Daphnia pulex: one gene and its partner. The protein of the gene in region 1 purifies or fractionates together with the protein of each later gene. This does not show direct contact. Links are inferred from orthologs where the notes say so. Each region holds a gene or a part of one and is shown on either strand. Other genes may lie near its edges. The genes, in order: striatin-interacting protein 1 homolog and striatin-like.

Region 1 (4,447 bases):
ATCACCATGACTTGAAGAATGTAAATGAATGATAAGATTAAGTCTACACGCCTACATCGATAACGTACCATGATGCGCGAATGTTTCCATTTAGTCAGCTTATTAAGGATGCGCAGAAGGTTGACGCATGAGAAGAGATTGCGCCAGCAGTAGGGAAGATTGGTACCAATTTCCAAACTCTCGGCGGTCAACTCTGGCTGATCGCCAATGACACACGAAGGGAAATCCAAGATAGCGATGCTGCAATCACGTAAACCGTTTAGCAGCCGGAAAAGAATATCGACACACTGATGAATCATCGTCTACTACTTACTTGTTTTTGGCGCCAATGTAGGCCATAATGTTCTGATTGAAGAATTTGAGTACGAGTGGGATGCAGTTTGCAAATACCAAGTGTTGAGACATGAACTCGAACTGGTAAACATGATTCATTTTCAAGTGCTTCAGGAGAAGCAACAGGATGGCGGCTACGGCTTTTACCAAGATTTCCTTGTGTCGATTCACGTCAATACCCAATTTCATCGACTGTAAAACAGTCATCCTAGAGAAGAGGCAAAAAATGGCGCATTAATAGTGAATGGTAGCCTTGAGGCGCGAGGGAAATTTTTTTCGGGGTCGGCACAAATGGATTTCCCCGTTTTCTAAAAATGGCCATCGGTACAAAATTACGTTTCTTTTCTTAGAAAAACACTTACGGCATTTCTTCGGGCAGAACGTCTGCCATAATATTAATAGAGTCTGTTTTTGCCTTGGAGGTCGGAGCGGCGGCTAGAAGAATTTTCAGAAGCGCAATCATGTATTGAGGCAAGCTCGGCAACATGGCCTGTATTTCAGATTTTGAAAAGAGAAAGAAAAGAAATAATATATATATACATATTGCAAACAGAAAGGATCAGAAATTAGACCTGATAAAGGATTTCCGCCGGAGTCAACGCTATGTCCTCCTGCCCTTTGGAAACCGGGTTTTTGTTAATGTCCTCTTCTCGTTGGATTTGGATCTCCGTCAACGAAAAGTAAGTGTGCTATGCAAAATAATATCACCATTACTCACAATGAACGGATGGAATCAGTTTTACACGTGCCTTACCTGTTTCAAGACACGCACACCCTCATGAATTGGCAAAGGAAGTCCTGCTAATGATACTCGATCGTTGGGGAGCATGAAACCTACAAATTTCATTCGCGTGGTATCGAGAAATTGATCGATATCCTTTTGACGAACTTTCGGTGTCCATGGTAGTGCTAAAAGATAGAAAGGATATATTTTTTTTTGTTTTCCGGTGCTAATTTGTTCTTTATAGTGAATGCTACCCTTTCTTGGTGCTGGTGTCGTAGGTCGTGGGCTTGGTGGCTGAGGTATTTCTCCCGATTCTTCCATGGCTCTTCGTTCTTCTATTTCCCTCAACTCATCATCGGCTTGATCGTTATTGTCCAATTCCATGGTTAGTGATTCATCTAAGGAACTCTGTTTGACTAGGGTCTGCAAAGAAAAATCAAGATTACAATTTGTCACAAATCGAATGCTAAATAAAGGATAAGAATTTACCCGTCGGAAAGGACGGGCAGCTGGACCCGGTTTCTGATTTTGAGCTTCCAACAGATCAGCAGCTGATGCAGGAGGTGAAGCAGCGCGCATGGTCCGTGTTACTTCGATGGTATCTTCTATTGGCAATGCCAGACCTGCCTCGGTACGATACTTCCCTGAAAAGATGGGAGGAAATGATAGATGGAAATGATTATGGACGAAATTACAATTGGCACAAACCTTTCAACTCTCTCTGTTCCTTCATTCCACCAAGAGATACAAGCAGCACTTTCCATAACAGCAGCAATACTTTCTTCATTGGGAAATGCGGGCAAGATCCACTGCAGAATTTTGTGACCATACTGAGAAGTTTTACAGCTAACAGTTCATCGTTGATGGGCTGAGCTAATGAAATCATCGATGATCAAAAGAAACAATGAAGGATCTAATACAGAGTAACTCAATGAATGTTTTTTACCGATTTCAGCTCGAAACTCTTCTTGAATCTTCTTGAATTCGTCACTGTCCTCTTCTTGGGAGGAGCGGAAGACTTCAACGATCGTGTAAAATACCGACAGAATTACACGAAGATCCCAGCTATCTGCAAGACTGACAGCTAATTTTCTTATGGCAGTATTTGCTGCTCCACTGTTTCTGTACTCAGAAGTTTGTTTTTAATAAATAAACTTGTAATAATAGGATATGTAGTACTCACTCAATTTCATAGTTTAGCAGTTCCAGAAATGTGTGAAAAATTCCAGTTTTGTACAGCAAGAGAACATTGCTTCGAGTCCAATGCTGTTGCTCAGCATCACTCTGGACTTCACCCCAGCAACCTTGAGCAATGTAGAGGATTGCTCGAGCTGCTTTTATCCTCAAAGCTTTGTTACTCAGCTCCAGTTGTTCTGCTAGTTTAAGCAGAACACTTACCCTAGTGGAATCATTCAAAGTTTGCCAATGGGGTCTAATGTGGAAGAGTTCCATCAACTCCTCAAATGCCTGATGAAAAAAGAATTTAGTTGATCAGCATCTTTAGGTCAAAATGCCAGGCATACTCTGATATTTGATTGGAACTCTGGTCCTTCTGTGTAACTGTAAAGCTCAGCAGTTTCATTAGGATGTTTGTCAGCATCATCATAAACGAAATCCAAGTCGGGGCAGTCAATAGTTCCCTATGACGATAAAAATTCATACGATGTATCCAATTTCATGAAATAAATTTACAAACCTCTGAATCTTGACGCTGTCTTCTAAGAATCTCTCGCAATTTAGGTGGGCCTCGCCTGGCACCGCCGGCTTCATCCATTTTCAGACTTTTCGGGCCAGTTTATTTTTATACCATGAAACAAAATTACTTTTTGACATCTCCCTTCCCTCTCCAGAAAGGATATAAACAATCTCTCAGAATGTGGGGCCACCTAGCGGCCACGATTACAACTCGACTAGGGTAAATGCATCATTGATTTTGTCTCGACAGCGTTTACGACGCTTCACGATGGAAGCAAAGAACAGACGTCGAATCCTTGATTGGAGGAGGGGGCATTCATTACGATTTATCGCCAACCGCGCGACGTCCACCAGCCAATGCCTTCCAAACCAAACCTCGGCCAAAAACCAGAGATCTCCTTGTACGGTTTGAAATCATCTGGAACTTGGTCGATGATGGCAGACAATAAAAACGGAATATGCAGCTTTAAAAAAAATTGAGCTTGCTCCAAAAGCAAAACTGCGTACATTCAAACAGGATCAAGGATAATGTTTCTGAATCGTACATTTCGGCGAACGATCGATAACAGCAGAACCAAAAGTGTAATATTGCCTATACGTGACAAAAACATGGTTCGATTTTTTGGATTTTAGAATCCAAGAGAAACCAATCGATGGAAGCCCCTGGAGTCAAAACAGGTCACCGTTACGAAAATTCGGAAATCTCTAACCACAAGGGCTATTTTCCTCCTATTATACTCTGGAATTGGAATACATAGAGCAACCACAAACGACAGCTTGCACATCGATCGTCCTGGATTTCGACGATGTTATTACTATTCAGACGGTACGTATCTTTTTTAATTACCTCCATTACAGGAGAAACTCGAAAAGGAAAAAAATATAAAATAAAAAACTGAAAAAATCTGATAACAATAAATCTCCTAAGCCCATTAGCCATGGCTCAATGCAGCCAATAGGTGGACATCGTGTCTGTGAGCGTGGACCAAATTGTAACGCGATGCTTTAACTTGGAGAGGGTTAGAAAGGAGGTTGCGAAGGTTGGAAAAGCCCCGCCTGAACTGATGAAGTTACACATACACATGGTGGCAAACGTATGTGTTCAGCCGGGACTGCCGAACATGTAAGAGCCAAAGGACGGGTATCGACGAGAAACCTTATTTGGGTCACGTATGATACTCGACCTTTATTTCGTGTGTGTGTTTTTTTTCCTCTCTCCCTGAAGTTTAAAGACCCTGGGCTTGCAGTACTGTCGCACTGAACGGATGTCGTCAGACGCCGTGTCTGGAGCTGAAAATAAAAGCCTCTACAGACGCTCACGGTCGAGCTAAAATAAAAGAGAGACTGAAGAAAGAGATGAACAACACACCAAACGAGAGTCTCCTAGTCGCGGAGTAGGAGAGTCGCTGAAATAGAGAAAACTAGGGAGAGGAGAAACCGGTGAGATTTTTCAAACAGGATGGAAAGATGAAAACAGACGAGAGAGAGAGCAAAGAAAGTCTTGACTCATCGTGACCTTCTCCCGGAGAGATCTGGCGTCGTTTCTTGGTCAAAACTTTCTCTGTTGGTCTCCAAATTAAAGTCAGCAGACCTGATCTCTTTTTTCTCTTCTTTCGATTCTCCTCTTTCTATTGGATTTCTTTTTTTTTTCGTTTCTTGTCCGATTTAGGGCAAGCGGCCGCCATCGTGTCAACA
Region 2 (3,149 bases), on another chromosome or scaffold:
TATTTTACATTTGAATAACATCTACGAATTTCCCCAAAAATCGTGTATTGTAGTGTTGATTCTTGGTGTGCCTTCCAAAGAATGTTGTTATAAACTAGATTTGCTAGTGATTCTTTGTCAGTTCTTCAATGCCAAGAGTGACATTTTTATTTTGAATTGCAGAATGTCGTCCACCTCACAGAAGCATCGTAACTTTGTAGCTGAGCCTATGGGAGAAAAAGCTGTTACAGATCTTGCTGGTATTGGAGGAGTGCTAGGAGATCGTTTAGAAAAGAAAGGCTTTGATAAGGTAAAAAAAAATAAATTACACTCTCTCAATACCAGCAAATCAATATAATTCAATTTAATAAAATCCATTTAACATATGCAGGCATCTGTTGTATTGGGACAATTCCTGGTCTTAAAGAAGAACAAAGAGCTTTTCGTGGATTGGCTCAAAGACACAGCTGGAGCCAACGCCAAACAAGCAGGAGATTGTCACCAATGTTTGTCAGATTGGTGTGATGAGTTTTTGTAATCTTTTACCATTGATGTTGATCGGGTGTTCTGCTATCAGTCTCAATTCACCACCACCTATCGTAAATACTTCCAGCACACACAGCATACTCTTAAAACTTTTAATACCTGCTCGCCGCTGCCTTGGTGGAAGGGCACTGCATCGTATATATTTTAATTACGCATGTATGTATGTCCCTATGAAATTAACATACAAGTTATATTCTGGAAAACCAGCCATTAGTGGTTCTTCTAAATAAAAATCAAAATATAATTAGTTCAATGTGTATTTTTTTTTCAATCAGACAATGTTTGAAATTGAGTTTTTTTGTGGGAATAGGGGAAGGTGGGGAATAGGGATCTTTCACGCACACTAAGTCGGGGCCCTAATAATAGACTTTTTGTTGTTCGAATCGTAGATTACATTGAGAGAACATGGTTGCAGCAGCAAGAATAGCAAAATCTACCCAACTGATATCGTCACACATTTATCCACTTGTATTTCTTTTTTTGTATTTTTCACTTGACTTCTTTTCTTCCACTTGTTCCTTCTCTTCAGTCAACGATTAGTAGGCGATGACAATTCGACGCACCCAAAGGGAAAAACCGAACGTCTTCTTTCATTCATACTTACCAAGTAGTTTTTCCTAGTCTCGTAATAATAACTACAGTTGGAAAGGGACAAGACGGGAGGGGATTCAAATTTAAAAAGAACGCACGGCAAGCAACAAGGACGTTTGTTATGTGGGAGGAGGTGGGTGTAAAACATTATCAGTAATTTCCGGAATAAAACTTTTCCCGACTGATTTTTCACAGACATGCACGAGAACCCAAACTCTTGACATTTTTTAAAAACAAACAATAAGATTTCCAAACGCCACATTGAAGCCAACCAGAGAAAGGGAGCTAACAATATTACACGAGACAAACGCTTTTTTTTTTCTTCATTAATCAATTTGCCTTGAAAGTTGTTCTGAGTCACTGAATAGGATCTGATCTAGGATATCCCCACAGAATCATTCGCGGAGCCATTGTAAGGGTTGCAACCTCCTTGGTTTAATGCTCACAGCCGTAAAAACCAACCTTCGCGAACCACACATTATTTGTACAGTTTTTTTTTAAAGAGAAGACGAAAAACTGACAACAGAAAAAGGCTACTTTAACACTGAGTTAACTTTTCTTTCGTGTGGATCCTTGGAGAACGCGAGGGAACAGAGGAGTTGGTTTCCTACGATTTCTTTGTGTGTAAAGTAAAAAGAAGCTACAAGTTCTATGAGACATGCACACGGTTTGAGGGCCTAGTTCTATATATATATAACTGGTGGGGTGGAATATTTTCTAAAAGACGTTAAGTTATTGAACTCAAGAGGTAATGTCAGTAAGAAGAGAGAAAAAAATCGAAATATTTCTTCCCCCCTTGAAACTAGTTGAACGGAGGAATTGAATTGTTTCGCTTTGTCTTTTTACAAATGAAGTGGGGCGGAAGCATGGGCGAGATAGATATTACGAGACTAAAGATAAGAAAGATGGAAAAGATACAAGTTTTCCAGACAGACGACGGGTTAAAAGTACAACGTTATTCTTCCCTCAAAGGTTTATAGCTAAGGTCGGAGTCGAGTTGTGAGATGATAGAACAGCAACAATGAACAAAAAAAAAGGAAAAAAAAAAACGGAAAATCAACGGGACTGGGGGGTGTAGAATCAAAATTCAGAAGTCTTCTGAGAGTTCACCAATCTTTTTATCTGATGAATTCACGTTGTTGCATTTTTTCTCCTTATTTTCCTGTGTCGTTTCCTCCGTTGCTGGTGATGCTGTTGCTGTCAACACAAATTATACCGAATCGCCATAGATTGCACACGGGCTAGTAGTCTCTTATCACTTCATTGCAGCCCTGGATAAATTGATTTCATGTTGATAGATATCTCTCTGATCGGCAACACTGCTGTATATACTGCCGCGTTCTGTGACTCGAGCATATTCGCACATGCGCGCTGCATTTATTCATCGACTTTCTGTTGAAGCTTTTTTTTTGGTTTGCCTTTTTGTTTTTGTGTTTTTTGTAATTTTTTTTTTTTTTTTTTTTTTTGTTGAAGTTTCTTCTCGCAATTTAATTTTTACCATTAAATCCAACAAAAAAAAATGGCATTCTCCTTTCTTGTTTTGGTTATGAGTGTCCTTTCTCCACTAAACAAAGACTTTGGCCAGGGCGTCGGCTCCAGCCGAGGCTATGAACGGCTTGCTCGGATGGAAAGCAACGTCGAAAATAGACTCGTCAAACTTTTTACGGTGCGACGTGATCTCTTGAACGCATGTCTTGTTCTCCAAATTCCAAAGTCGAATGCTACAGTCGTGACCTGCAAGTTCAATTGAACGGATGGCGTTAAGACGATCAAAACGTAAAGAGATTACTGTCAACAACGACATACTTCCGGAGAGTAGGTAAAGCCCATTTGGATCGACGGCCAAACAAGTGACAGCGTCCAAGTGAGCAACCATTGCGTGTGCGAGCTTCCCTGTGTTGTTGTCGTAAAAGCGGATATGTCGATCTTCGTGGGCTGTTATGGTCAACGGAAGTGTAGGATGTGAAATAACACGATTGATCTGCCGTCCAAACACTGAATCCTCCACTCCCTGGGGGAAATAAATGGAAGAG

What was found.
Region 2: the proteins of striatin-interacting protein 1 homolog (region 1) and striatin-like purify together in Drosophila melanogaster (affinity purification with western blotting; 4 studies listed by BioGRID, with this or other methods). This does not show direct contact. The link is inferred for Daphnia pulex from reciprocal best matches to the Drosophila melanogaster genes Strip and Cka.

What each region holds. Positions count from the first base shown.
Region 1 is NC_060018.1:2,549,424-2,553,870, forward strand, and holds the start of striatin-interacting protein 1 homolog, read right to left. Parts: upstream 3,003-4,447; 5' UTR 2,832-3,002; coding exon 2,754-2,831; intron 2,698-2,753; coding exon 2,581-2,697; intron 2,525-2,580; coding exon 2,241-2,524; intron 2,180-2,240; coding exon 2,004-2,179; intron 1,931-2,003; coding exon 1,766-1,930; intron 1,702-1,765; coding exon 1,312-1,701; coding exon of another isoform or gene 1,243-1,311; coding exon 1,088-1,242; intron 1,023-1,087; coding exon 906-1,022; intron 824-905; coding exon 696-823; intron 542-695; coding exon 314-541; intron 241-313; coding exon 69-240; coding exon of another isoform or gene 6-68; intron 1-5.
Region 2 is NC_060020.1:3,948,964-3,952,112, reverse strand, and holds the end of striatin-like, read right to left. Parts: intron 3,128-3,149; coding exon 2,923-3,127; intron 2,851-2,922; coding exon 2,681-2,850; 3' UTR 767-2,680; downstream 1-766. Other genes in the region: barrier-to-autointegration factor-like, read left to right, coding at 164-289, 371-517.